Styela clava: one gene and its partners. The main gene of each other region encodes a partner of the protein of the gene in region 2 in a complex. Links are inferred from orthologs where the notes say so. Each region holds a gene or a part of one and is shown on either strand. Other genes may lie near its edges.

Evidence for each region.
Region 1: dynein regulatory complex subunit 3-like (region 2) and dynein regulatory complex protein 8-like share a complex: the UniProt entries of both Homo sapiens proteins name them as parts of the nexin-dynein regulatory complex. The link is inferred for Styela clava from reciprocal best matches to the Homo sapiens genes DRC3 and DRC8.
Region 3: dynein regulatory complex subunit 3-like (region 2) and dynein regulatory complex subunit 5-like share a complex: the UniProt entries of both Homo sapiens proteins name them as parts of the nexin-dynein regulatory complex. The link is inferred for Styela clava from reciprocal best matches to the Homo sapiens genes DRC3 and DRC5.
Region 4: dynein regulatory complex subunit 3-like (region 2) and dynein regulatory complex subunit 7-like share a complex: the UniProt entries of both Homo sapiens proteins name them as parts of the nexin-dynein regulatory complex. The link is inferred for Styela clava from reciprocal best matches to the Homo sapiens genes DRC3 and DRC7.

What each region holds. Positions count from the first base shown.
Region 1 is NC_135253.1:7,972,424-7,980,439, reverse strand, and holds the start of dynein regulatory complex protein 8-like, read right to left. Parts: upstream 3,017-8,016; 5' UTR 2,859-3,016; coding exon 2,828-2,858; intron 1,905-2,827; coding exon 1,773-1,904; intron 1,066-1,772; coding exon 960-1,065; intron 486-959; coding exon 260-485; 3' UTR 1-259. Other genes in the region: integrator complex subunit 7-like, read right to left, coding at 4,204-4,355, 5,031-5,121, 5,961-6,227, 6,537-6,635, 7,297-7,383, 7,842-7,920. UniProt on the Homo sapiens protein: Component of the nexin-dynein regulatory complex (N-DRC), a key regulator of ciliary/flagellar motility which maintains the alignment and integrity of the distal axoneme and regulates microtubule sliding in motile axonemes.
Region 2 is NC_135262.1:17,139,220-17,147,198, reverse strand, and holds the start of dynein regulatory complex subunit 3-like, read left to right. Parts: upstream 1-4,972; 5' UTR 4,973-5,149; coding exon 5,150-5,309; intron 5,310-6,555; coding exon 6,556-6,672; intron 6,673-6,987; coding exon 6,988-7,154; intron 7,155-7,663; coding exon 7,664-7,810; intron 7,811-7,979. Other genes in the region: dynein regulatory complex protein 1-like, read right to left, coding at 880-2,970. UniProt on the Homo sapiens protein: Component of the nexin-dynein regulatory complex (N-DRC) a key regulator of ciliary/flagellar motility which maintains the alignment and integrity of the distal axoneme and regulates microtubule sliding in motile axonemes.
Region 3 is NC_135255.1:14,431,307-14,438,843, reverse strand, and holds the start of dynein regulatory complex subunit 5-like, read right to left. Parts: upstream 3,009-7,537; 5' UTR 2,905-3,008; coding exon 2,520-2,904; intron 2,266-2,519; coding exon 2,130-2,265; intron 1,711-2,129; coding exon 1,117-1,710; intron 1,038-1,116; coding exon 915-1,037; intron 491-914; coding exon 313-490; intron 1-312. Other genes in the region: EH domain-containing protein 3-like, read right to left, coding at 5,248-5,267, 7,318-7,504. UniProt on the Homo sapiens protein: Component of the nexin-dynein regulatory complex (N-DRC) a key regulator of ciliary/flagellar motility which maintains the alignment and integrity of the distal axoneme and regulates microtubule sliding in motile axonemes.
Region 4 is NC_135255.1:21,594,770-21,602,603, forward strand, and holds the start of dynein regulatory complex subunit 7-like, read left to right. Parts: upstream 1-4,821; 5' UTR 4,822-4,895; coding exon 4,896-5,044; intron 5,045-6,010; coding exon 6,011-6,188; intron 6,189-6,576; coding exon 6,577-6,748; intron 6,749-7,366; coding exon 7,367-7,515; intron 7,516-7,834. Other genes in the region: putative palmitoyltransferase ZDHHC24, read right to left, coding at 2,116-2,551, 2,976-3,156, 4,044-4,308. UniProt on the Homo sapiens protein: Component of the nexin-dynein regulatory complex (N-DRC) a key regulator of ciliary/flagellar motility which maintains the alignment and integrity of the distal axoneme and regulates microtubule sliding in motile axonemes.

The DNA of each region.
Region 1 (8,016 bases), on a different chromosome or scaffold from region 2:
GTAAAATTTCTTTTTGCCTATTGTTTAGAAATTGACCGTTTATGTTGAACTTCAAGATGTCTGAGGAAGTCATGTGGTTAATTTAAAATTTATACATTCCATCAAGTTATGAACATTCAGCAATAAGTACCTTTTTATGAAGGCCAACAAGAGTAAACAGCTTCAATTTTATTAAATCATTTTTTTAATAACAAATGACTTGGAGGTTTAATACTTTGGTTTACAATATGGAGTAGTTTTAGCTTACGCTATAATTTAATCAAGTTTCCTCAATAGCCATTAAAGAAACATAGTCTTTGTATAAAACAACGCCACGATCAGGATCAACGGCAGCAGAGAGAAATTCGTCCATTTCTTCTTGTGTAAAAGGTTCTCCTTCTTCAGTCATATACTTTGTGATTTCTTCCTGAGACAAGCATCCTTTCTTATCCTGATCAAGAACTTCAAATGCCCTGAGCAACTGATCTTCAGGTGAAGGTTTATATCTGGAGGTGGAAATAGAATACTTTGCGATATTTGTTTTATACTTGCGTCGCTAGGGAAATTACTTTACCTTAAGCATGATTGATAATACATGCAAATGCTGTATTGTGATTTCTATGATCTAAAAGAACTTTTTGTCAAATATCATCCAAAACAATGACGCAACTGTTGAACTTCATTACAAGACTCGATGCAAGGAATAACGCGGAGTTGGACAATAAACATTAAAGTTGAATTAAAACTCTTTTTACACCCATCTCTCATGTTCAACATAGTTCTGTTGCTGAATATAACAATATCTAATTAACATATATAATAGCTGAAAAAAACAGATAAATTTAATGATGCAATTATATGTCAAAAAACAAAAAATACAATCAATATATAATGGCAACATTTAAGATTATTGCATATCCATTCTATGTGGGGTCACCAGAAACAAAGTAGCGAATATCTTTTTAACGACGACAACATACCTCCGTTCCATCAAAACATGTGTCATCATAGGTAAAAATTTCTCAAAGCGTATGTAACCTGTTGGTTCCTCTTCTTCTATCTCAGCCAACATATCATGCAACTCTCCTATATCAACATAGTTTCAATTAATATAAATTTGTGATATTCAATGTAAAATTAAGATCCTGACATCACAGTCAATTTAACTTTGCATTGAATGTTAGAAATTAAGGTTCAGTTTTTTTTAAGATCAGTGATATCAGTTGTCGGCTCATACATACCACTTCACACACAATGTGAGAGTAAATTTCTTTCATCACAGTAGCTAATATATTAAAGTGACAGCTTGCATGAAGTCATACAAACAATTATGTATAAAGTAAAGCAAGCTCTATAAATTAGCATTAGCATACTGAATTGAAAATAGAACACTGATGACTATTCAAAATGTAATAATCATACTGCTTGAATTGATCCCTAAAGTATATCACAGTTATGTTGAACAATGTGAGCCGAGCAGTTTGTACATCCATTATGACAAATCGTCGGTTTATTAAATCACAACAATGTCTAAAACTATGCAATTCAAGAGTCTTGCTGCACACTAACACAAATGTATTTCTGTAACGTTAGATTGAGACAGTTAGTCACGCGCAACCTCTACTGATAGTTGAATGTCTGAAACATTTGCAAAAATAAATCATACCACTGCGACACATATGCCAATAGTTACCTAACATTTTATTACAGAATTGTAGACAGGCTATTAGCTTAAATAACGGAAACTGGAAAAAATTATACAAGATACAAACATAAGTAAACTACACTAGTACCTTCTGATGGGCAACATCCTAGTGATCTCACAATTGTTCCGATTTCTCTAACATCAACTGTTTTGTTTGCTTCGTGGTCAAAGATTTCAAAAGCATCTGTAATTTTCTTCTCAATTTCTGCCAGCATAGACTCTGAAATATAAATTAAGTCAGTAATCTAAACATATATTTCAATAATTTTCACTAAATATACATGTTTGTAATAGTTTGGCAAAGGATTCAACTTCCAAATGCAATAGCGAAAAATATGCAGTAAATTATAAGATACATTAACTTAAAATATATACATTCACTACAGCAAATTAAGGAAATAAAGTTTTCTATAATGTGTGTGATGCTTCGAAAAATTTGAATGCTCCTTGTTTCAAACACTTATGTGGTAAAATTGTCAAAATCTAATACACTTTTCATCTAGAATAGAATTTACATATTTATCCTGAGAAGAGTAAAGCCGATTGGACGGCTTGATCGATCATATGCTGTACTGCGGCCTCTCATCTGGTTTGTAGTTAGCCAGTTATTTATTTTATCATATTATGGACTTCTAATGGCAGAGCAAGCTGTAATTGACCAAAAGTTATTTATGTGAACCACCCTACGGTGACAAGGATTCCAGCAATCTTCTTTCACATAATTATCCCCCAAAGTATTCGAAGCTGCAAACCCACGCATGGCAGCATGATGATCGGAGGTGTGGTGGCGAGCGTATTCACAACGCTTAGCAAATTTTGCCACACCACCAAGCATGCATGCAGACATGCCATACAGTGTTGAGTTTCCATATGGTATTAATCCAGAGGATTGCTGATGTAGACCACTGGTACCGTACCTGCTTCATCTCATAGACTACCGGTACCGTAATTAAGCATGCCTACTAGATCCTGTAGATCTGTAGATCAATATGCAAAAGCCACAAAATCTAGTTTTACGGTATATAGGTACTAGGACAGTCAGACCGTGAAAATTTACCAGCAATAGTGTAAGATTAAATCAAGTTCGATTACTGGATTACATAATTTGTTGCGATCAAAGCTTTTCAGTGAAACTTGTTTTACCTGCCGATTCTTTTTCCCCGGAATCAGTCATTGCGCTAGAATTTTCGATGCTACAAATCAGATAATATACTCAGTAGCCAGTCGTATAAACCAATATTACAGAAAAATCTGGAGTAACAACATAAAGGGCTCATTCCATAAGCGCCATCTTATTCGTAATATTTTGTTGATGCCAGGGTCAGCGTTTCATGACGGTCGCCATAACAATCATCGGCTAGTAGTGGTAGTAACAGGCGTCTGTTGGGACTAATCCGGATAATTTTTGATACGATATTAAAACTTCAAATATGTTTGCATAAATGTTCATGGCTCATGATACGTTTCTTCGCAACATTTAAAATAATTTTGTTATGATCTATTGCCGCCTGAAACAAACAATATTCAATGTTAAATAAGCGAGACCATGTATTGCAGTCGGATATCATGCTCCCCATATCTCGACATACGACTAAAAGTTACTTCAATATTTTAAATATATACACAAGATCGGTAGACACAAAATCTATCCATTTACTAAATTGTAGTTGTTTAAGAGGTTGTAAAACACGAAGTGGAACTACATTGTCCTGCGCATTAGGAATACCATTTTCATTGCATCTACGATTATTTTGTAAAAGTTCGCAGGAAATCTGTGGAAACATAATCATTGGTATACTAATATTAGGCCTTCTTTCGCCATGTGGAGCAATCAACTGGTAGACTGTCATTATTCGATTAAGCAAATAAATAATTCATCTTATCACCCACCTCTCCCCTGTTAAAGCTATGAAAATCCTTTATTAAACAGTAAAACCACAAAACTGATGATCGAAACAAAGACTTTAAAAACGAACATCTTAAAACGAGATATTGGAATCATAGGAACCCATTCTAGGGCATAGGATATATAGATTTCACACAGAATAAGAAAGCCGATAAGACAGCTTAATCATATGGGAAATCGCAGCCTCTTGTTCAGTTACCAGTCCATGTTGGGTACGGGGTTAATTAGCCAATTATTTGTTTCAGATGCATGAACTTGATAGTGGAGGAAGCCGTAACCGACCAGCAGTTACATGAACCACCCTACGGAAACGAGGAGTCCAGCAATCCTCTCGCACATAATTATACCTCACAGGATCCGAACCCACACAGTGTAATCAGAGCACTATATGAAAATATCATAGACTTGTTACAGTACAGACATTAAAGACTGTAGTGCAAAGTATTTGATTTCTGGTGCTGTAGCCTACAAAAATAGGTTTGACTTCATCTCTTCAATTCATTCAGACATACAAAACAAATTGTTGTATTAGTTTATTGCAGTAGATATCGTAAGATGTCGCAACACAATAGTTTAGCAAAGACAGGCTAGTTTTTCCAACAATAGATGAAGACTATTTATGAGATCCCTGACTCTGTTGAATCAGATTTTTAACTCTTATAGAATCATCCAAACTTCGTACTGTCAATGACTCAGTTGGTCCACACTTCCAACACATTCCATGTTCGTCTATCAAACTCGATTCAACAATGATATTATGATTGCCTTGATTAGAAAACAAGTGAAATACAATTATGCATTTATGACAGTTTTGCAAATTTTTATATTGTACATATGAAAGTATTGACATAAGTACATTAAGAAAAGGCTGTCAAAGTGTCAAATATAATTCTCTGCTGCTGTGAGGACAATAGCTGGCACAGATTTCCCATGCAACTATTTGCTGATATACAAAATCATATAGCTTATATGAAATGATTCGAAATTTCAGGAACAGGTTCTCTTATTTCACTCATTTTAGAAAACCATGCCGAACTTATAGCTATAATAACAAGAAAACAGGATTGTCGATTATCTTTACATTCCAATAACAGGCTCACACAAACCTGTGCAAACCCCCTTAATCCCACTGCTCATATCACTACTGACATAGCCCAGATTAGTTGTCTGCTAAAACAGTACAAGTCAGGCAGGCCATTACAACATAAATCAACACTCTTACCCTCAATAAAAAAATTTAAAAAAATTGTCATAATATGATTGGAATATTCTGGTCTATCGTAATATTTTCAATTCGACAAGGTGTCCAATAAAATTTTTGACTAATTTTTTATTTTGAGGGTTGATTAACTGTAAAACAAATTGAAGGGTCTGTGAATATTTTTCAACTATAAACTGAGAATTTAAGTCAGCACAAAGTAGATGAAGATGGTTTCTCACCCAAAGCAGGAAAAGAGAGTAAAAATTGTGTGCTGAAATAATCATTGTGTGGTTTCACTGTTTCTTCAAGAAAATTTCCGGAATCAGAGAGCTGTAAAAATGTTATTCTTTGTTAAATTTGTTTAGAAATGATTGAAGATCACTTTACGAAAATTATTTTGAAACAAGAACTTTTTTATTCTAAGAAAACGAATGTAAAATAGAATTGTACATATACAAGTTAAAGAAGTACCGATGTAAGTCGGTATCAGTCATTTTTTTTGGTATGGACTAAAAATAAACTGTTATTTCTGATATGTTCAGTCCTTTGATCTGATCTGGAATGTTATGAAGTATAAGTTAGTATACATGTATTGATGACTAAAATAATTTTTTTGCCTTGGAGGAATCATGTAGGCGACATTTACTGCCTCTTATAACGCTTCACTGGGGTTGGTTAATCGACTGAATGACTTTAGATGGTTACTGGTTATGATTTATTTTGACCACTAGCTGACATCTCAGGTATAAGCAGTAGTGGTATTCAGCCGGTTCGCACCGATTCTATAGATCCGTCTCACAGAATTTTATGAGATCAGCGAACCGGTTAGCATTACTGAAAAAAACATGATTTTTTGTAACAGAACCGGCTGAATTTGTGTGATGGAACCGGGTGACAAAGAATTTGAATCCCACCACTGGGTACAAGTATTACCTTTGTTATGTAAAATTACTTCAAAAATAATTAGACATCGCAAATTTCCCATGACTTTTGATTAAAAAAGTATCACTCACTGTATTGGTGAGTACCAATAGTGCAGAAGTAATTTAACTAAAAACAGTGAACCAATTCATTGTTAATGAAAAAAAAATATACATGATTTAGTCCAAGTTCAGTCCAAGCAAATTGGTTAAGACATCATGACCACTCAAAAAGTTGACAAAACTCACCTTGACATTCATAGATGCTTGCCTTCCTTGTTGAGCTTGATTAGTTCTTAGTGATAATTTGATTTCAGAAACATGCCGAAATGCACAACGTTTTTCTTTTCCATTATTACCAAAACCACTCTTGCTTGTTGCTTTGTCTGCTTCTCCCAATGTAGTACCACCAGGTCCACCATGTCTTATCACACCTTCAATTTTGAGAGCTAACCTCTCACACACATCAACAGTAACCGGATCATTAGGCGATCGCTGACTTGGTGATATAGCAAGCTTAGAAAAATTTTAAAAAACATGTCAGTATTCATCAAATTTAAAAAAAAATGGTTATATACAAAACAATACATCGCACATTAACTTACACAAGTAGAAATCGCAAAACATCTATTTTTGAAAAAAAATTTTTTTTTTTTTTAAAAATGCAAGATATGAGCATAGAACATAATATGAAAACTAATTAATTACAGGTTCATTATTTTTCATATTAACTACCAATATTATCTTTTGTATGTAGTGACATGTAAATCAAATTGTTTACTCGACATAGAACAAGTCGAGAACGATTTAAAATATTTCTCATACCTTTATTGTAGTTGTTTGTAAGCTCTGATAGAAGTATCTCGGATAGGAAATTGGAATTGAAAGCAAAAGAGATGCACATTGAAGAATGCAGTCTGCGTGCTGTGAAAAAAAAAAGTTTTGGCAAATATGTTACCATTCATCAATACATATTCAAGCCAGGCCCAATATATGAAATTAGCATTGAATATCATATGTCCATACATATTGAGCCATGAAAGGTAGACTCCATAAGCAAAAAGGAAGTGCATAATTAAAGTTCACATAAACAGTAAAGATTGACACTTTTCTAAGGAACTAATTTTATGCTGGAAACCATAAACAAATTCAATTACCTATGACGTATTAATCTGATATTTATAACAATTAACAAGTTAACTCCTTGTATTGAAAATGTTTTTCTTTCTCTTCAATATTGGTATATAGCAATAACATTTTTCTACACAAATATTCTCGTCAATGTTCATAGTTTTATTCGGATATCATTTGCCACGACCCGAACATGACTTGTTTCGAGATAGTGTTTGACAAGTAAATAAGTTGGCCTTCAAAACTACAATTGCAAAAAAAATAAACGGCAAACAGACAAAACTGTATTTATCAGATTGAGTCAAATTTTTGACTGCGTTCGTAGAGATAAAATATATAAATCCAGAATCACAATGCAAATTCAAAATATATTATAGATAGAAAGTAAATACAAAGTCATCAATAAATGATGTGACAGACCAAATGAAAGGTTAAAACTATAATATCCACTCACTATATTGCTGAATGAAGATGAAGATGCAGAACTACGAAATACTTTATCCAATTTTGACATGATTGTATCGAATGTCTCCAGTAAAACCTGAAAAAAATGAATGAGAATTCGTTCAAGAGTTTTGCTAGTCTAAAAAGCATTTCAAGCTAAAAAATTGCTATGTATGATACATAAAAAATTTTTTTTTACATTTCAAAAGAGCGACCCACTAATGCCCCCTGGGTTTGCCCTGGTGACCGCAATCCCGAAAAAATTAATAACAGGCTAACTTATCCCATACGGTATACCCAACATGGACTGGTGACGGGACGATAGGCAGTGGTACACCATATACCGGTAATTAAGTTATCTTGTCGCCTTTCCTTTCCGTGGGATAAATATGAAAACTCCGAATTGCCATCAAAAGGTAACTCACATTTCTACTGCTTAGCAGTCACCAATCTACCTATGATTAGCTATCAACCAACATTTAAACCAGAGCTTATTTATTTCCAGACTTATATGCTCATGATGTTTTTTCATATTCCACTCACAAAACTACTTACTGTGGTATTATAATTATCTCTTTCTATTGATAAATCTTTACTGAAAGAGCCAACCCTTCTTATCGATGTGGCTTCTTGTCTGAAATGTAAATAAATAAAATACTATGATGTTTAGGTTGAAATATATGGAAAATATATATATTTATTATAAAAAAATATTTATTTTATGTTAATA
Region 2 (7,979 bases):
ATTTTTTGTCACCAACAAAGCAAAATGCACCGAAAGAACACTCAATTGAATACCGATCGAAACGTTGAAAATTAAAAACTATTAAGGTGCACGGATAATAATACCTTGGTTTTAGTTATGATTATCTGGCAAAACATTAGCTTGCTAGATCAGAAACAGTTTGAACGACAGCTTCGATGAACTGAGGTTATCTGAAAAATCAAATCTTGAAATACAAAAAGTTGTCTAGAAAGACATTCAAAGCTAATTATTTACAAATCTCTATTGTATCAGTACATTACTTCCTACCATACGTATGTTTCTTAATTAAGTATTTCGCGCTCCCTAACGCAAACTTTTAAAATAAATTACATATGTGGTTTTCTCAATTTACACATCAAAATATAACATGAAATCTTGGTAGATAAGATGAGCATAGCAGAAGGAATACAAACAATAATTATAAAAACAGGCGGCCCTCAAAACTCTCACTCCTGCGTGAGTTATTCTTTGTGTTACATTCAAAATTTATTGAGGACAAGCTGTACCCACTGCGTTTAATATCGGTATCAGCCAACAACTAACATACCACTAAAATATAATGACTAATGCGCTGAAACACGTCTACGGTGTAGTTTCACCTCACAATGAATCTATGCCCGGTTGTGTTTCAGGCGTAGTTCCTTTGTTAGGTAAATAGTTAATAAAGCTACTAAAGTAAAGATTCACTACTAAATCATTGGTATAAAGAATTGCATTTGAACATCGCATTGTTGAAGGTAATTTTTATAATTGTTTTGATGATAACAATATATATATAGAAAAAACAATCGACAGTGACTACAAAACCAAAATAATATTGTTAAAGAAGAGCAAAATATTAGGAGAAGCACATGTTTTTTAGCTGTATTCAAGTTGAAGGACACGAGTTGGTGGAATCTCGAGCTCTCTGTTGACTTCGGAAGTGATGTATTGGTGGAGTAGCATTCTCAGTTCTGCATTCTGTTGCCTAAGGCTGTCTGTTTCTTTTATTTTAACATCTCTCTCTGTGAGTACTTTGTGATACTTGTCAAACGCTTGTGTCAGTGCATCCCACATCTTCAGTTTGTGCTCTGGAATGATGTTTGCCATTGACTTCCAAAATTGTTCGTCTTGCGAGCCATCACGTCCTGGTGCAGTCAGTTTGTTTGTACCTTTCGATTTTCTTCTTTCTGTAGGTTTGATATGTTCTTGAACAAATTGTTTCAAAACCTTTAAAACTTCATTTGGATGCATATTTTCTTTCCCGTCCATAGTAGATGACACTTCATGATCAAGAGATGATTCACTCACTTCGTCACTGAGTTTTTCTTTGTGTTGAGCAAAAAAGGCTGCCAATTTATGGATGTCATCCTCTGATTCGATATTTAAAGCTTTAAATATTGCATCCAGCTTGATCAATGACCTTTCTTCATTTTGAAGGGGACGTAACAGCTTGTTCAACTTTTCCTCGACAAGAAATCCAGCCTCATCACATAATAGTTCCAAGACTTTCTTAACAGCACTCAAAGAAACTTTTGTACTTGAATGAGACTTTTCATCATCAAATGTCAAAGGCAAACTATCATCCTGTTTTGGTTTTGCCACTGATGCCAAAACTTCTTTGGCCATCATCAAAGCAGATTTTTCCTTTCCTTCTGTAGCTGCCAGCAATGGACCACGGGAATCCATGAATGCGGTATCAGGAGCAGACCACGGCAAGCCAAGCTGTTGCTGATGTATGATGCAGTCTGTATTCAAAACTTTATCAACAAGTTTTCGTACTTCTTCTTCATTCATACACCAGATATCATGAAATTTTTTGTTATCAGTTGCTGAGAAGTGCTTCATCTTTTTATGTAATTCCTTGTATTGCTCTGCTATTCTTTTGTAGTCATCAACGAGTGATTGATTCTCATCTTTGTATGAACGTTCCTGCTTTCCTAGCTTGATTCTAAGGTTATTCAAGACATCTTGAAGTCTGGTAATTTTTCTTTTCTGCTGTGACTTAGTGATGGTATTTTCCTCATCACGTTTTTTTAAGACTTGAAAATTGTATTCTAATTTTTCTTGATTTAACTGATATGTAGCTTTCATTTGTTGCAATTGTTGCTCCAGAATTTGTACATCAGTTTCTAATTTAATCTTCACCATGTTATATTCTTCAGCATCCTGGGTGCGAAGTTGATCCAATTGGCGCTCATGTTCCTCAACTCTTTTTTCTCTCAGTTTCATGTGATCTTCTTCTTTATCTCGTCTCTGCTGCATCATTGAATCCCATTTCCGTCGATCAGCTTTGTTCATATCACTGCGACCATCTGTGTAAGCATCTTCAATTTGTCTCAGCTCTTCTCTGTGTGATTTTGTTAGATTTTTAATTTGTTCTTCCATTCTTTCAATAATGAGATCAACATCTTCTGATTGCTTCTTCAAATCTTTGACATATTCATCATCTTTTTGTTTTAACTCTTGTTGTAAAATATTTATCAATTTATTTTTTTCATCGATCACAGCGTCACAACCTGTTGTTTGCTCTTTCAACATATCATGTAAATCCTGAGGGATCTCCTTCATGCGAGCTGCTGACCATCGTTTACTGATTTCATCGAATTTTTCAGCAGATGCCTTTGCTTCTGCTTCAAGTTTTTCAACCCTTGCTCGTTTAGCTTCTTCTTCAACAATTCGATGACCAGACTCACGAGCATCACCGGCAACTCGTACATTTGTTACAAGTTCATTACCATCTCCAAGGAGTTTTTTCAGGCGTTTTCGACTTTCTTCAATCTGTTCTTTTCCCTTTCCTTGTTCTTCTTTGACTTCTTTTTTCATGAGAGCATCGTCACCCAGAGCTTCTCTTTTGAGCTGCTCGATTCTATGTTGGATTCGGATCCTCCTAGCAAGGATTCTTTCTTCTGGATTTACAGATTCAACCGAAGGCCCACTTTCTTCGTCCCCATCGTCAACATGTAACATATTTGTGGTATGATATGAATCACAAAAACTATTTAACACTATAAATAGACATAAAATAAGATATATTACTTAGTGATAATTAGAAAACACAGAATCAGAATTACTCTGTCATTCAGAGAATGTCTATAGCTATAAGAATTGATTTGATACTTTTATACCGGGTTAAACCCAGTAAATTAATCCGAAGTTTATTCAGTTACCTGAATATTTTAGTTTGCCTTGTTTATACAAAAAGTCACTGCCATTTCAAACACTCAGTGCATCACAATCAAGAGTTTCTGAATTTCTAAGTGACTCAATTTAATCCAATTCAAATCGGTAAGAAGCAATTCTCCAAAATATGGCTCAATTTTATTAAATAAATTATTGGGCAATGAGACAATGTCATGATGAAGTAAGTCTAGTTGTCACAACATCAAATAACATGTCTCCTTCAGTTTTCTTAAATTCTTACATTTAGGGTGGCTTACCCACTTTGCGGCCATGACCTATCTGCGACCATCAACTTCATCGATTAAATTAATGCCGAAAAAATTAACGAACCGCGCCGATATTTCTCACGCGTTATCGTCCACTTATCCCTCGTAGCTCTACGAAATTACACTAAAATGCGGCCATAAATGAAAAAGTTACGACCGAAAACCTGACCGAAGAAAAAAAACGGACCATTTTACCATGTCGCCAACTACCCATTGTTCCTTCAAAAAAGGTTGAAAATCCATACAAATATAAGAGATAAAAAGATGAAACTTGGAAGGTGGGTAGAGTTGTGTTTCTTTTAACCATCTTTAAAGTTTCGCGTCTCTACCTTCAAAGGAGGGGGAGTAGGGGGGTGCGCATTTCCAATACGTCAATAATATCTTTGTCAACTAATTTGCGACCACCGTGTTTTTGTCTGTTTGATTGCTGTGATGCGGTGTTTGTTTATAATTTGAAAAATTTTGTTCGAAATAATCGTATTCTTAAAATATATGACGGTCAGAAATGCAATTAGAAGCCCATTTTTTCACGCATGGCTGCGTATTATCTAGTCTCGACGCAGCAGAAACGATGTTCAAGGATTGAAATCCGTGGTCGCACACTGGTCGTTCGGTCGCAAATACGTCTTCAGAGTGTCGTACTTTGGTGGTTTGTATAGCTTTAACCCCTGGTCGTAGAAAGTTAATTCGAAGTTCAGCGTGTAGAATGAATGCCAATGCACCTACGGTGAAAAAATTAACAGGTTAGAAATATTGGTTTTTGTTTTATAGGGGTTTGAATGAAATCGTCCGCAGACTGGCTACACCACCCTACATCTACTCTACTACTCAAAAACTCATTAAATTAAGTAAGATGTCTTTAAATGACCAAGATACTGCTATTATATCTATTTAGGCATGACTCACTGGAAGACATTCAGACCTCACTACTTTTAGAATTATAGAAAATCACTACAATAACACATTTTGTATATATCAGTAGCGACATTTGTGAGAATTCTCTGACGGTCAGTATCAAATGAAAATCCTATACCCGCTATTGTTTAAAAAAAGCTTACATAGCTGCATATTTCAGTATTTGTCTCGACTACAATAAAATAGGCGTTCGATTTCGACGCATTCACTTTTACCTGACGACCCGTGTTACGGTACCGGTAAGTCTTCCTGCTAGTCATATTTCCTGCTATCTAGTCATAAAATAACCTATCTATAGTTCGAATGCAATTAAATTCAACAAAAACACGATGCTACAGACCACTAAACAGAATTTGTTTCGAAAATAGAACACCTATTCTATGCTTACATTCCTAATCGCGATCAACCTTTTCAACTAGTCATGCCTGGATGATAGTGCTTCGTTTGACTGGTTGCTATGGTTATTATAAAAACCAATGGTGCGAAAAAATTGGCAATCTGTTCACGATATTTTATACTGAATCCCTTTTTTGCTTAAATATCATAAAAAAATTCAATCCAAAGTATTTTATATCTATGTGAATACATTTATACCAACAATTTGGATCCTTTCGTTTGCAAAGTACAGCCCGAATCCATAGCAACGCAGAAGCGCGAAGTGCTTGCCAAAGACTAAACAAATAACACTTATTTTTTTGGTGCTCGTAGTGAGCGGCTAGCGCCGTGATTTTCCATTTTCTGTTTCCTCTGCATATCTCCCTTCCTTGAATATATTTGATTCAAAAATGAGTCGCCTTTATGACACCGTTGAACCTGCGGTAATCGACGATGAAATGCTCAGAAAAGCTGTAGAAGAGCAAGGCCCGAAGGAAGAAGCTGGTCGAATTGCAAAACAAGAAGGAATTGATTACAAAGACGTGTTGTCATTAAGACTAGATTTTAGAAGTAAGTGGTAAAAACGTTATGGCGAAATATATCACAAAAAGGGTAAATAAACCTGTAAATACAATGACAGACAATTTTTTTTGAAAACTTAGCTAGCTAGTTTTTATTTTTACTTTAGGTATATTATAAGTATAATAAGTATAAGTTTATTTCGACTCCATAATCAGCAAAACAATAAAATGAATGCTAAAAATAAATAAATAAAAACTGATTATGAAATCAGGAGAGCGAACAAAACCCTAGATAAGGTTTAAAACGTACAGAATGTATATAAGATGGAAGGTTTTGCCAAGAAGATGTGGTACGTGTTCACTCACCTAAAATAATTGAAATATTTCACACACGCTCACACGCACCCACACACACAACCATATAGAAGTTATTAAGTGAAGGGAACAGGAAAAATTACATCTTACATATTATGCTAAATGGACAATATTCATATTTTGTGGTGATTATAATGAAATTTCAAACTTGAAGTTAGGAAGTCGTGCATATTAAACAATTAACAAGTTTGTACGAGTCAACTATTTTCATGCTCCACTCTGTTGTGTTACCGAACTCGAAAAAAGGGGTCTCCTGTAGTTTCGTACCCATTGTACTTCTACTAGGCGTAGCATAACAATTTTTTTACAAGTCAGTCCTAACCCCCACCTGACTTCGCTATCCAAAAATTACGTCACTACGACGTCACAATCACGTCATAGAGCTTGCCAAACACACATCCGATCGCCCGAAATGGCATCGGTGCCGACGATGAAGAACTGACTAACGTCAGCGATCTCTCTCCTATCAGGATCGCTGCGGCGAAAAAACGAGGGAAATAGCTGTCCGATTTCGGGTTCTCTTCTGCGCGTCTTGGGTGACAGTTCGTATAGTTTGAAGGGCTCTATTACGTCACTGTGACGCCGTAGTGACGTCATTTTTGGATGGTGTTGTCAGGTAGGGGTTAGGATTGACACGTGTTAGTAAATATAATTTTATGAAGTAGAAGCCTTCTACTCATATTCTGACCTGTCAATTTCAGTCTAAATTATCTCTCAAGTTTTCATTTACAATCTTTCCATAGATCTTGCAGTTATTTTTCTCATTTGCTAAATCCATAAAAGCTTAAATAATATGGCTCTTGATAGTTTGGTCAAATATTAGAAAACTTTATTACTGATGCCCATTTGTGATAAATGCAATGGATAAGTTATCTGCTCTGTTTAATTTGTATCATCATTTTATTTTTACTTATTTACAGATATATTGAAGATTGATAATCTTTGGCAATTCACAAAGCTGACAAAATTACAATTGGATGACAATATTATTGAGAAAATTGAAGGATTAGATCAATTGGTCAATTTAGTATGGCTAGGTATGATACTCTCTTTATTTTATCATAAGATGTTATTTCTATCCTTCTTTCTAGTGTTCCCTGCCATCATTGTTTTAATGACATATGTAACTCAAGTTACGTTGCTTTTTTATTATTTATTCATTTATTATCTTGAAGGGGGGGAGGACTTTAGGTCAGAAAAATTTTACAATGAAAGGAATTTTTTGACATAACAGTTGAAAAAGTTAAATTCACCATGAAGTAGAAGCTTCAATCATAAATTGGTAAACCTATTTTTGTATTCAAATATAATTTTAATTACTGTATATTGATTTCAAATACAATGAATTACAGATTTGTCTTTCAACAACATAGAAGTGCTAGAAGGTTTATCAAAATTGACCAAGTTAGAAGATCTGACTTTGTACAGCAACAGAATATCTCGACTAGAAAACATGGATTCCCTCAAAAATCTACATGTACTTTCTGTGGGAAATAACAAGCTTAATCAGCTTGACAATGTAAGAAGTATTCATGTGAATCGCCTTGAATTATACAGTAATCAGACTCAAGTTGATTCAATGAGCAATTTTCATTTTTTTTGCTCATTTGGTATTTCTTTTAGAAAGGAACTAATATTTAAATCAGTGTTTTTCAAATGTTTATGATTTGTGGCATCCTTCCAAAGACCTTCGGTGACCTCGTGCTCTTCTAGTTCTGACTTTAACATGAAGCGGGGGCCCAGTTTGAGGAACCCTGATTGTGCATTTTCTACATCAGTTATAACAAATACTTCCCAATATTTAATCAAAAATGATTGAATTGAGGGTCCGAGTCATCCGAAGTCCATCAAAATTTAAACTTCGAGTTCCATTTAAAGTCACTGTACGTCAAGTCACAAATTCAGTCAAATTGCTATTGTCCCGATTTGTAGTGTATTCCATGAACAACAGTGCATTAGTCATTGACTCTGCTTGAGTCTCCTCAACATTATATTGAAGTATAGCCTTTATGAATTATGTTATTTCAGCTCATCTACTTGCGTCGTTTCACTAATTTACGGACATTGAATTTATCTGGTTGTCCCGTATGTGATGATCCAGGATATAGGTTATTTACTGTCGCTTATCTCTCACATCTCGTGTATTTGGACTTCAGATTAATTGATGAAGACACGGTAAGCGTATGTGATTTAGTTTCATCTGCAGTGAAAATGAAATTAACTGTAGTTAACTTTTTATGAATTTTTTAAGTTGTTGGTTATATGAGATGCAATTTCTGTTAGTGCATTGTTATTAAGTATGATTAAGTCATATGTTCTATAGCTCAATTTTAAGCCCTATGCT
Region 3 (7,537 bases), on a different chromosome or scaffold from region 2:
AATATACATGGTGTCCATAAAGTCCCCTTAAAATTTCAATTTTGTTACGAAGTCAGTTCTAAATATATTTTGACCAGGGTTGTTGTTTTTTAATCAGTAATTGTCCAAGTTACATTTGTGAGGGCCAAAACAATATATGGCATCGATAAAATCTCTGCCATTTTAAATTTAGCAAAGCTGATGTGTGTAATTGGTGGCAAAGTCAAAAATGTTAGCTTTGCCTGGCAGAGAGAATGTGGAATGGTTGAGACTCACATCAATTAGAGTAAATCCCCATCTGCTGGAATAAGTTTCATTACAACTTCAACTTACTGGCCCAATTCTGTTTCCTGAAAGACTTATTGTTGTTAATGCAGTGTTAGATATGAGAACTTGAGAGAAAACAGCAGCTGATGGTTCAGTCAAGTCGTTACATGATAAGTTGATATCTTCTAATGTGTTGTTGTTCAAAAGTGCTTTTGCAATGGCCTGACCACCAACATCACCCATTCTGTTAATGTGAATGGTTTTTCATTATGAATTGAACCTGGGATTTCCAAAACGGAATAACCGATATATATTATTAAATTGACACTGAATGAGCCTAAATTTGTAAAAAAATTAGTTACTCTTCATCAAACAGATGAACAAAACATTTGCATTCTCAAATTGTTATTATGTGTCTCAAATTGGAGATTAGAAACTATTGAAGAATTTACTATATCCAATGAGTGGCGGACAAACAAAACCTATTTGATGGCAATTATAATGCATGAAATGAATACTTTTAGAATTGATTTTTTAACCTAAATCTGGTTAGGTATAATCGTAACCGTGGCAATGGAAACAATATGTGTATGATGGTACCACGCAATATGTCCATATAAGAAATTAAAAAAAAAAAAATTATGTGCAAGTGTGTGATTGACACTAACCTGTTCAATCTCAGGTTGAGAGCCTTCAATTTTGAATTTTTTGTGATGGAATATGCAATTGCTTTTGCTCCTTCTTGTCTTATGATGTTATCACAAAGGGTAATTGAAGTGAGGTTTGGGCATCTGCAACATATTTAAAACAATTTTCAATGATATTACTCTAATTAAAGTAAGCTCGATAATATACAAATTAGCAATTCACCTGTTGTTAATAAGTTTTGCGATTCCTCTTGCACCCTTATCACCGATGCAATTATGTGAAAGATCCAGATTAGTGAGGCAAGGATGATCGAGAAGATTGCTAACTAAAACTCGCACTTTTGCGTCATCTACCTTGCTTTTATGAACACATATTTTTTTCAACCATGTGCAGGATCGCAGTGCTTTTGCAACTAGAAGACAATCTCGTTGTGTGAATTGAAAAAGATTCCATTCAAAGTTCATTCCACAATCTCGCACGCCATAAGTTACTTTGAATTCTTCCAAATTCGGAAGTTTCTCCAGAAGTTCTCCAAATTCAAAGTGGTCCATTTCAGGACTTTCCGTTCCTGCATCACTTCCCATATCTGATGCTTCTTCCTCTTGAACTCCGGGTTTCGTTGGTTCTTTTACAGGAGGAAGAAGTTGTTTGATGTCTAATCTTTTGACATATTTCGAGCATAGGGGAATGGCGTTTGTAACTACATCATCGCTAGTTTTCTCTGGTACAAAATTTTCCACAACATCTTGCATATATCTTTCAAAAAACATCCTTTTCCAGCTTCCACCATAATTGGTGACGTCACATATGTGGTATCTACAAAATTATGTTTGAACTTTGATCAAATCAGGAGAGGATTCTCATATCTATCTTGGGGAAAGTTAATGGCACCTAATTGCATGGCATTGGACTCTCAACCAATTACCATTTCATGCCAAGTATGGGAATAGTTAACCTGATAGTTGTTTCACTGGGGAAGGAAGGTGTAACTGGCCACCGGATGTAAAACCACCTTATGATGGTGGGATGTGTGCAATACTCTCTCACTTCATTATCACTATCCGCACAGGATTTAGTGTGGTCTGTCAATCGCTGAGCAGGTTATAACAAGACACTAACTTCACATGTAAAAGATCCAGAGAAACGAAATACTTGGAATTTTCAAATATTTGTCTAACCTGATACGGGTATGAGTTCTATTTATCTATTATTTAAACTTTTTTGGCGCAACTTACTTAGCTTTACAACATCTTTTCCAATAGGATTCATCTTCAACCAAGTGAGCTGTTACAATGATATCTATTTTTGGTGCAATTTTATCAAGAACTTTGTTTTTATCTTTTGGATGAAGTTCTTTCAGTATTGGATTTTCTGGAAAAATGTAACATACATAAATACGCTAAAGCTGTTGTTATTATCATTTTAATTCAGTTTTGAATATGTTTAATAGGAATTACATTAAATGGAGGTTATTTTTATTAGAGTACATTATTTTCCATGTAAATAATAATCTGATATATAGCCCAAACTTATCTGAGCCAGCAGTGTGACAGTGGTCTCACGATATGACATGCTTTTTACCAATCAGCAGAACAGTGTATTTAAACAGTTAGACAAGTCCTTACTTTCAAAATTGTCAACAATATGGTTTATCACTAAATCTTTCAAAAGAGGTACTGTTGCTAATGACCAATCAGGATCTTCTGCAATTATTCTTCTTAAAACCTTTGTATCATTGGGAATCGTGGGTGCTGCTGAAGGTTGCAAAGAATCTTTTTTAACATTGGATCTTCTGTCTTTAACGACCATGTTGATTATCAGTTCCGGTAACCGTTTCTCAAACGAGTATAAAAACGAAACGTATATAATAACTACAGGAACAGGTTTTACGCTTTTAGAAACAAAGCCATCACCTTTCCAAAAAGCACTGGCGGAGACAAAAACCACAACTGCTAAACAACGCGAGCTAGTAACCATGGCAACGTATCTGCTTGTTACAGCGAATTCCATCGAAATCTATTTTCCATACCGAAACACCGATTTGAAAATTCATTTTTTATCAATAATATGCAAGTAAACAAAATTTAATGACATTTCAAATGATAAAACTATATAAATATGACGAAAGGCGGATCTATTATCAGGCAGAATTTGATGCCACATCTTTTTCTGGCTTTCCGTGGGTTAACGACCACAAACTTTCAGCGGCAGTTCTATTACAGCCGACTGTTTTTAGAATTGTACATAAATATTATTTCAAATTTTCTCATTTTTTGATATTGATTTTTGCACTGTACATTGATAAAATATTCTCATTAGACAAAACATTTTACAGATTGTCACGGGCTACCTTAGATTCTATACCTCACTTTTGGTCTCTTGAATTGCTATATTATAACTCTTTTTTGAGACTTACTGTGAATCTGATTGTCATATCAGGTATTTTATGTATTTATTGCGTTATTTTTGTTTGCTTATGTTTATTTGTTGTGTTGTTTTTATATGGACCACAGCGGTCTGGAGTAATAAACGAATTGAATTAATGGCTTGCATACCTAGTTTTATAACGGATTTGAGGCCACTAGCTTGGGTAAGCTAGCAGACTTTTAAAATATCAAATTTAATTAAAGATGAAAACTTTACAGAGTAGCATCCTTTCCAAACTACAATACCCCAAACACAAAATTCGAGTCAGAAACGTGGGACGGCTTTATTTTACTAAGCATAACATGCATCAGCAGTCACGAAACATTTTAAGCAGCAACAAGTACAAAAGGCATTCCTGGTTCACCATTCATTTGACAATTCAACTTGAGCTGGAGACATTTTAAAAGACACGAGTTAATTATACACCATGCATATAACTTAAATATGACAGGTGGCAAACAAAAGTGAACAGCACATAAAAATATGTGGTTGTGAAAAAATTTGCAGTCTTTTGACTTCCGCGGACTGTCAAGAGAAAGTAAATCCAGAATATTTTTATTAAACTTGAATCGTTCCTGGTGGAATAAATTGCAATTAGAGCGATAAATAATTTAAAAAATGCATGACAAATGATTGACTTCCTACCAAGGTAGTATCATCCAAAAATGGGCTGAAAGCTGCCCAAAAATATCACAAGCAAAATCTTCAGAATAAAAACATTCTTTTTGACTGATGATATAATCGTTGAATATGATGAACTCCAGTTAATGATTCAGAATTTATATTAGGTGAAACTTGAACAAATACAATAATATTAATTTGTTCGAGAATGTTTTTCTTTGATTTTCCAAATCTTCAATCTCCCAGATTAATGCCGTCATGGAAGAAAATTACCAAAAAATAAACAACTAATTGTTTCATTTTTTGAGCAGTATACAATAAAAACGGGAAAATAAAAATATTTGATAAAATCATGCTCTATCTACAAAGTTATTTTTAGCAATTTAAATCTAGTTAATTCTATTTTTATGACACCGTTTAGAGTGACAGTTTTGCTACTAATTTGTTTCATACAACTGTTTCAGTATCATCCCCTCAAAAGAAAAATATACTGCATGAAAAGTATGAATGAAAAAGATTCGGACTTTTGAAGAAAGTATTTAAATGTCTGAAAATCATTTTAATAAAGCAAGACAAGAGATTTTGAGTTGTAAAGTTTTTTAAAAACTGCTTTCATACAAAATATGCCAATGGGAGATCGGAAAATTAGATACAAAGCAGCACCAAAGTTTGAATTTTTTTTAGTTCTTGATAAAAGCTGAAAGTCATTGAATATTATAAACAGATCATAGGATAGAATCGATTTAATTTTAATGTTAAGACACCAAACTTGGTTATGAACAGTACGACAGTAATATAGTATATAATAAGTAAATGCTAAAATAAAGGTATAATATACATTTAGAGATATTAGACTTGAAGTTAATGAAAAAAATGGAGAAAGAAATAAAATAATTACATTTTTGTCTACCGGATCAACATTCTCAATAAAAAAATAAGAACATGTTCACGTGCATTTGCTTGGACAGTTGCCATCATTGGATTGAAATATGGAAGATGGCTTTTGTCTTAAGTGAAGACAAATTACACTGCTATTTTATACACTATTTAAACCAAATAAATCTGCATGAAGCACAAAAAAGTACATTCATCAAAAAATCCAAAGAAAATTTAAGTTTGCCAAATATTCAGGCTTTATAAAAGCGTCAGCTCTCAGCTATGAACATATTTTCATCCCAGTAACAAGCCATTATTGAAGGTCCATATGGTTGTATTTTGTGTAGTTTCTTCTGATAACAAGGTGATCCAAAATTTGAACAATGATGTCGTAACGAGAGATAATGAAATTTAATGATCTGATTGAAATTATATTTCTCCATTCGGTTCTGCAATGCCAATATTATCATTAATATAAGATTGAAAGTAGATAGCATTGGCAATAGGTGTGAATATCAATATGTGCATTCAAAATGAGCCAGTGCTAAAAGCATGTATAAAAGCAATCAGGAAACATACCAACACACATGCCTAGTACTCTCCAAACTGGGGGTCTCGATCTCCCATGGGTTGTGAAAAAGCACGCTGGGAGTCGAATTAATCTTTTTTGACACTACTAATTTCGGTCTTCTGTTCGAAAATATGCAAGCACAATAATAGTATTCTCAGTTTATTTTATATTTTTAATTTTTCTGCATTAAAATCTACTTCATTTTTATTTTAGTTCATGAAGAGCAAAAAAAAAAATGGGTCATGACGAAAAAGTTTGGGAGAACACTGCTTTCGTTGATGTCAGAATAACAATTGTTATAAATCAACATAATAACATCAATAGAGAGAATGGGTGAATAATTATCAATTTTGTTAGTTCTGAGATATCACCACTAGTTAGACTGCTATTGGATCGATAAGAAAAAGCGGAACAATGTGGTTTCAAGTCGTCATCAGCCCAATACACTCCCAAAGGATTGGCATAGCAAAATATTCAATATAGAATGATATTGTCATCAAAGAAGCGTGCAATGAAAGGCAAGCGATTTTACGAGTGATTTAGATTGTAATATATTTTCACCAATCACCATACTTTTTTTTTCTCAGTACTGAACATAGTCACATTTCTTTATTCTTCCATATAAACAGACAGCACAGCTGTTTTTTTTTTTCTTGAAACTATTACTGAGCAAGATCATGACAAACCCAGAAAAAGCGGAACAATGTGGTTTCAAAACACCATCAGCCCAATACACTCCCAAGGGATTGGCATAGCAAAATATTCAATATAGAACGATATTGTCATCAAAGAAGCATGCAATGAAAGGCAATTTTATGAGTGATTCAGATTGTAATACATTTTCACCAATCACCATACATTTTTTTCTGAGTACTGAACATAGATACATTTCTTTATTCTTCCATAAAAACAGACAGCACAGCTGTTTGTTTTTTTCTTGAAACTATTACTGAGCAAGAAACTATGCTACAATAACATATTCAAGACTTCATGTTCGTTGTACCTGTTGTCTCAAGAGTTCGCAAGCATCACATATTCTTCATACAAGTTGATCAAAATGGATTTGTTGCTGAATCAAACCATGCAAAAATGTTAACAGCAAACAATTAGAAAGAAGTGATTCAAAACACATTAGTGTGAAGCATTCTTAGTGCAAGTCTGATGGCTTAGCATTCACCAAGGTGTTTGAAGGATTCCGATCAAAAAGCTCGAAGGTAAATCATGGCCATCGTTTTTCAATAGATCAAATTATTAATCAAACAAAACAGAATAGACGATCAAAATCGAGCCAAATTTGAAAGATACCAAAACTGTATATTGCATTTATCAGAATCTTTAAAAGTGATACTATGACAGGATTAACAAAGACTAAAGAATTAACAAGCCCAATATTATTTCATTACTGCCCAATCACAATATTAAGTTTTTCCTATGAAGTGATAGAGATTTGAAAACTGTGACACACAGTAGGAAGTGATCAAAAATGTTTAAAACTTCGAAAATGTATGTGAAAGCATTTTGAGTCGGTGCCATATTTAATATGATAAAAAGCATGCATGAAATGAACATTGTTCAAGTCAACAATAAAAGTATAAAAATTTCAATCCTATTTGGCATATATAGGTAATTTAAAATATTGATGTCCCAGGAATTCGAAATTGTTGTTTCACCGATAATGTAATAACAAAACGCGAATTATATCACAGTGTTGGGGAATCACCAGAGCAAGAACCATCAACACTACCTCAAAATGTTCAAATTTCACGAACCCCGCTTACATTATTCATGCAAGATGAAACACCATGATAAATTGAATTACAAATTTCAAAATATTGATAAATGGAATTATATTCTGTCAGAGAATACAACTGATAATTTCAGCAAAAATTGTATAAGGAAACCTCACACGAAGGCTTATTGGGACTTACTTCTTTGACTAGGCGGAATTAAATGTTCTGGTAATTTGTCAGGAAGATCGTGCCCATCAACTTTCAGTTGTATGAGATGCATACTCAAAGCAAATTCTTCATCAGTTAATGCACCATCTTTATCGTGATCTGCCAACTTCCAAATTTTGCTTAGTATGGTATTATTGAGTTTGGATTTCTCCATGACCTGAAACATATACGAAAATGCCCTTTTATGATG
Region 4 (7,834 bases), on a different chromosome or scaffold from region 2:
CAAGTCTCCAGACAAGCAGATACTGTTATGTGATGAGCTCATATTTTCTGAAGACATAGGATCCTTCTGGTTTGGTTTTTTTCTACCAATTTATCTCGCCCTGATTGGCGAAATGGGAAATGGCTTGTTCATATGCGAAACTATACCTTTTGTCTGTCATGCTAGGTTATTTGTTGGAAAAACCAACTAGTTACTGTGAATATTGTCTATAAAGGCTTTCATAAAACCTGGTTAAAATGTGTATACTTTTATTAAAATAGAAAGTTTTGATACACGACAAACATTCGTACGCTCATTTGTAGAAAAATAATATTCAAACACACTCATGCTCACGCACAAAAATTGCAAAAGGGAATTTATCGATACCAGATATTGTTTTGGCCCTCACAGATGTATCAAATGAAGTAAAAATACATGAACGATTACTGATTAAAAAACAACAAAACTGGTTGAGACAGTTCACAAACTTTTTGGGCCGCGAGCCCTTGTTTGTGGATTTTATTTTTGACAGACCCTCAAGGTTTGACCTGTATTATGGCATCATACTGGTAAGAGCTAAAATTGCTGCCTATTACATGTATGTCTTTGCAAATCGATAAAATTTTGATTTTCTTGCCTGACAGCAATTGATATCGTCTGCAACGCTCAACCAAAAAGACGCATTGGAATCCATCATTAAAGATCGATTAGATTCGCTTCATATCGTAGCAGGCCCCTGGTACAGTCGTCACAGGAAACCCTGGGTTAAGATATATCGAAAACTGACTTCATAACACAATTTATGGACACCCTTTATATCTCAAAATCTTCCTCTCAAAATGTGTGCCATCCCACCGGCATAATTAAATAACACCTCATATTCATTACTCAAATTTACTGCAGTATAAAAAACATACAAAATTGCTTAAAATCATCATAGCATCTAAAGCACATGTAAATAGTACAGTTACTATTGCATATTTTCTACAAACCAGAGTCCACATTTCACAATGACATTTTTGTATATGAATATACAGGGTAGTTGCTGGAAAAGCAGAAAATTTTAAGGTCAGATGAGATCACGAATAAAATGCGTGCTTACTCACTTCTTTACCGATACATTTTAGGTTCTAGGTTTTCTTTAGTTCGATACCCTTTCTGTAATATTCTGTGTAGTATTATAACATAGGCCTTCAAAAAACTTTGGGAAAGTTATTTTTTGTGAATATAAATAACTGTTTGGCAAATTTTTCGTTTTTCTACCAACCATCCTGTATATTAAAATGCTGTCATATTAAACAGATAACATACAGAAATCTATAACTTCCAACAGGTTTAGAGCCACCTCAGGAAAAGATGGTAGTATTTTGATCCATTTGCTGCAATCGCCAATCAGCTCACCTTCAGATTTTGGTGCTCTTGAAGTAAGCGTACCAAGATGGCGGACACCCTGAACGTAGTATGTGTACCAGGTTAGGGTTAGGCCATAATTTTATTCAAAGTTTTCTTATCATAGTATCTGTACCTAAAATTATGGCCTAACCCTACGTACACATACTACGTTCCGGTGTCTGCCATCTACTTCAGGAGCACCCAGATTTTTTCCTCAAGTATGAAATTTAATCTCAGTTGTTAGTATTTGTCACCGGTTAGTAAACAAATAATTACTGTTGCCAGTAATTTACAATTTCTCTGCCTTTGTGTGAATCCTGAGTAGTTTCCTTGTCCAGGATGAAAATAAAATTTTATAGGGTAAGATTTACATATTTATCCTGGAGAGATATATGGCGTATCACAACCTCTCGTCCAGTTACCAGTCCATGTTGGGTATGGGATTAGGGTAGATTAAAATTCACTTATTTATCCCAGGGAAGCGGAAAGCCGATAGACCAGTTTAATCATATGGCGAATCACGGCCTCTTGTCCTGTTACCAGTTCATGTGAGTTTGTTACGTGAACCACACAACAGCAGCAAGAAGTGCAGGGATTCGAAAATGCGAACCTGCGAAGGGTAATCGGTGGTGTAGCAACAAGCAAAATCCTTAGCACGATGGCCCACACTGTCGAGCCATGCAGCGTAGAAGCTATTGCATTGTCGACACTCATTTTGTTACTCATCCTACAATGGACACTCTTTTATATACCTTTAACAAACTTTGGAGTACCCCAGGGTGCATTGATCTCTTTAGTTGGCACTGGCAAGGGCATTAGGAAGTACAAAATTCCCCACGGCCATAAAACTTGTTTTATATTTCTCAAAAAGCCGAAATCGTATTTTCTAATATCTTTCCCGAATTCGTAAATTGTTTGCCCCCTCATCGATATAAAAAGCTCGGATAAAAAGTAAAATGAACCTCCTATACCTGTAACCACTGACCCATATAAGACTAAAATACAATACAGTTTGTCAAAATTCAAATTGCCTTCGCCGCTCCATAGGTAGTTGTACATTACTCCCGGAAAAAAGTACGAGAAAATTGCACTCAGAGAAAACTCTATCGTAACGTAAGAATAGTTCAAATATGATAACATTTGCTTGACGCAGTAAAGTGATCCAATCCCCACGTAGAATCTGTAAAAACAAGTGATTATTTTGAAATATAAGTATCATGAGGTTTTCAAAATTTATCCCGAGGATAGGAAAGTATATATCGTATTCTCTGTGTATTTTACTTTCTATAATACTAATTCACTTTCAAAGCAAATAAGTCAAATATTGTCTTATGAATAAGGTGCGTATTATGCATTGACATGTGAAATTCGAAAAAATATCAATCTATATTTTTTGCTCAACTGGCTAATAATTCTCACATAAATTAATCTGCAGTCTATTAATATCACATCATGCTTGTTTAGGTAGAACCATACCAAGTCCAACAAACATTTAGCGTTAAAAACAGGCAGCAAAAGTACCAAACAATTCAATAACTCAAACGTCGATTTGAGACTAATATAAACACAAACAAAATTTAATTTAATAAAATGTTCAAACTTACGAGAAAGGTAAAAAATATCTAAGATTCTGGATTCCAACGCATGTCATGAAGAAGTAACAATGATGATCTCGCTTCAAAATACATTTCTGACACACGGGGCAGTGGTGAGATCGTGGAGGACAATGTTGTTGACACGTCATGCACAGAATCCAGGATTTGGGGGGAGGATTGAGAATTAGACCTGAAGAAAACAATTCATAGTCATCCATATTTGTTAGGAAGCGTGAGACATAAATTAAGTGAGAGTGCATAAATACATATTTGAATTTTTTAATTCCGCCCCTTTGCCATATTTCGACGCTATATTGTTGTCAAATTTCATCAAAGCTGTTATTGCTTCTAGGAACAGTTTTAAATTAGCCAAGTCAGTATTTTGAAAAGTAATCGAATAGCTCGCGGAGCCCCTGGGTTACTCTCGCGGAGCCCTGGGGCTCCGTACGGAGCACTTTGAGAACCTATGTATTAGGCTATTTGTATTCATTTGGCGACGTTCAACTGTAGGGAGCACCGAAGCGTAACGTTAATGGGAGAGCTTATAGGTGGGATAGGATTTACATATTTATACCGGGGGAGAGGAAAGTCGATTGGACGGCTTATCCATATGGCGAACCACGGCCTCTCGTCCGGTTACCATTCCAAGTCGGGTATGGGATAAGTTTTATTGTTTGTTTTCGGAGGCATGGACTTGGTGGTGGAGGAAGCCGTAACCGACCAGCGGTTACGTGAACCACCCAACGACGGCGAGGAGTCCAGCAATCCTCTCGCACATAACCATCCCTGCATGGGTTCGAACCTGCGAACCCACGCAGAGTACTGGAGTAATTAGAGGTGCGGTGGCGAGCGTATTCCTAACGCTTAGCCCATGGAGCCACACCGCCGCGCTTATATTAAAATTATTCTTAAATATGGGATAGGTCTCATTTTGGGGAATCACGGTATGTACGGTTATACTGTGATGAAGAAATATTGATAATGAGAGATAATGATTTATTTCTGAATGGTACCACATTCAGACATTACAGCATTAAAAGACTCGCAAAAAATAAAGATCATAAAATATATTCATACCATCTGTGTATGTAGAATTATAAACTGTTCCAAGTATTTGATTCCCGATCATGTTGATAAACAAAAAGAAGAAAGCGAACAAGTTCCAATTATAATCGTCGTCGTGTCGGTAGATAATCGGAAACGCAATAAAAAGGCAACAATACAATGCAGAGAAAGCCAGAAGATAGAAATAACCAACACAGCAGAAATGTATCATAGTTATATTCTCCTTCGCTTTCATGGTTTGTGTGAAATCCATCCAAAAACTTTTCAGTAAACCCATTATATAATCTTGAATCACTAAAATATCGACAAATTTAGAAACTGCTGTAGTGTGTAAAATACAAAACAAACTGACGAATCCTAATCCGTGGTTCCGTGCTGACGTACGAAAATCAGTTTGGCCTGAATTTTTTCATTTTCATCAACAGTAATCATATGGCGCTGGTGTTTACACAGATAAAATTTTCACAAACAAATATTTAAATTATATAAATCAAAAAATCGGTACGGTATATACCTATATCTCTTTCAAATTTAAAATTCGCAACAACCTACATTTTCGGATCACTGACCCGTGACTTTCAGCTTACCTATTTCGAAATTTTAGCTCACAGTGACTTTAATTTGTTTGAATTTTTTGAATAAAACTAGAATTTTTTTACAAGCTTTGAAAATGTAATAAAATTACAACAATATTCCCAAAACGCTGGATATTGATTAATTGACCCGTAAAAGTCATTGACCCATAAGATGTGATATTTGTTACCGTAGTTACGCCGCGAGAGCTCTGCTGGTTTTCGACTTTCTGAAAAGTCGTTTCGGTCCTTTCCTTTCAGTCGTTCCAATATTAGTCTATAACTTTCAAAAATGGATAAAATTGAAGAAGCGACGACGAGAGAAGAGGAAGAAGGCGAGGAGGAACAGGGAGAACAAGAAACCGATGTCGAGAGCAAAGTAGAAGAGTTGAAAGCTGAATTAGATGCCGCGATTCCACCAATTGTTGTTCCAATAAGCGAGTGAGTTCAATTTATTATTTTTTTTTCAAAGAAAAACTAAAAATACAATAAAGAAATTCCTACAAATATATATTTAAGCAGTTTGGATTATTCAAGCTATTCAGAATTGTGATTGAAAACTGTTCACTCCCATTTATAAAATTGATCAATTTGGCAGTGGCAATCATGATAAATTTATCAATATGGTGTGGCAAGTAATTTTTATTTATTTATTTTTTATTAACTACCAGTATGTAATTTTTCATGTTCCCTTCACTTAATAACTTCTAGATGGTTGTGTGTGTGGGTGCGTGTGAGCGTGTGTGAAATATTTCAATTATTTTAGGTGAGTGAACACGTACCACATCTTCTTGGCAAAACCTTCCATCTTATATACATTCTGTACGTTTTAAACCTTATCTAAGGTTTTGTTCGCTCTCCTGATTTCATAATCAGTTTTTATTTATTTATTTTTACCATTCATTTTATTGTTTTGCTGATTATGGAGTCGAAATAAACTTATACTTATACTAACTTCTTCTTTATGGTTAGCATGATATGCCAATTGCTGAATTGTAGTAGTAGGGTACAGTTGTTAGATTACGACATGCTTGTCTCTATAATATTTTAAATTGATAGCGACGTGGGTCAGTCATCACATATTCAAACTTTTTTTGTTGACGTTTTTATGCTTGAAACTTTATCATGAAGGGGCTATTCTTGGAATCAGAGAACTGTGCCTTACTGTTGTGTCATATTCATAACGTTATTTTAGGTTATGCAAGCTTGTGTTTTGTTGTGGGTAACTGCGCATGCAAAATTTTCCATTTATAAATTCAATCATTCATCTCGTGAAATGGTTATATAAATGAATGATTTCAACATCCTTTGTTTTGACCCCAAACCACCCTCCCACCAATCCCCAAAAAATGAAGATAAAATGTTCAATTACCGTCATCATAACATTGATATTTTGTTAATTTTCAGTGTCTCAGCTCAAATCCCAAAGTTTGATTTGTCAGAGTTTCCAGATTCGTACAAAGAAAACTCTCCAAAAGAAAAGTTAGTTCTGGAAAACGCAGAAAACTTTCGTCGGCAATATGTTCATCTGTTCAGAGATAGAAAACCTCTTTTCCTGAATCCATTAAATGAATGTGGAATTGAGGTAAATATTCTTACTCTTGGTGTCAATTGTGTCATCATCATAATTTTATAGAGTTTCGATAGCCCATGGCATCTTAGTGTTGTCTTTAATTTTGCTCAGAGATGAGTATATTTTATTCAGAGTTGGTGCATGTGACCATACTTTCAGAAAAGTGTCTTATAGAATGAAATAAATAAAAAAAAATTAACAATTATGTGTCAGAAGATTGTTGGTGTTCAACTCCTATGGTGTTCATCCATAAGTTCCCTCAGAACTAGAATTGGACTTCACCAAATTATTCTCCATCATGTATAGAACTGCTATGTTAAAACAAAAGTTTGGCGAAGACTTGTATTATGTGGAATGAGATTCTGCTTTTTTGTTTGCTACAAATTTTTCCTTTTAACAGAAATTTGTCTGTACTACGATGCGCCCAACACTTCTAAAATTCAAGGAACTTTATCACTGGCAAGGTTGTGCCGAGTTTGTGTCAGATTACATAACAATGATGCCCTTGGATCCCCCTTGTGACTTGCCGACAACTTTTTATTCTCCGACAACTATTTTGAAACAGCAAAAAGGTAGATTTCAAGAATTTTATTTTTAATCTATATGTGATACAATTTTGATGAAAATCAGAGATTGCTAAGATTGAATAATTTGGATTGTTTGTTGTTTTAGTAAAAAAGAATACACACCCTGCGGCACATCACAATGACAAATTGTCTAAAGTTGTATTTCCATTTTTTTTTGGCTCATCATTCAATTTAGCCATCGAATCAACTTTTCTCTTCTCTGGGATAAATACGAAACCAGGTTTAAAGTCACAGCATAGTTTAATTTAAAAATTATTGAAACAGATTTTCATACTTTTTCACTCTCTTTATGCCTACCTCTCTGAACAAGGCTCTGTACATGCAGCCATTTATATTCCTTGATATAGAGGGAGCAAGATTGTGACCTTCAATTTTCGAAAAGGGGGTTCTGACATTTTTAATTGCAAAGTTGGTGCTAGTTGATCCCGGCCAGAGGGTCTGGAAAGCATTCCAAGCTACGGAAAATTGGTATGTGTGATACAGAAAAAATACTTTTCTTTGACATTTTAAATAGAGCTGTTCCAATTTCGAACGTCCCCGGTAGGAAGTTGATTTCATCTCAGAGACTAATATTTGTATCTGTTTTTTATTTTTTTTCGATAGGAAATTGTTTCGACTTTAGCAACCTTCTTTGTCTCTTTCTTCTCGGAGCTGGTTATGATGCGTACGTTGTCAGTGGTTACGCGATAAAAGAAGTTTGTCTTTATGATGAATCGAGGGAGATTTGTCCTCTGTTAAAGAAAAAAGAAGAGGTATAATTATGTCGTATAATTAGCGAGTTATTAATTAATCAGTGATGGTACACGTGGTGTCACTATAGAGTCACGAATCGAGACCGCAGTTTCAATTCATAAGTCTTCAATCTCCGACCGATATTCTCGTTTACTGTTTTTTGAAATTTAATAACCTTGCCTCACACTTTGATTCCTTGCTTGCAACAGCCAATGGTCATTGAATCTGTGCAAAGCACTTCGATAGTTTTTTATTCATCTATCTCAATTGGTCTGTTAGACACTTTCGTATGTTATGCGTTATCTCACGAAAGCGAAGTTGAATCTGCTCCAAATTTTG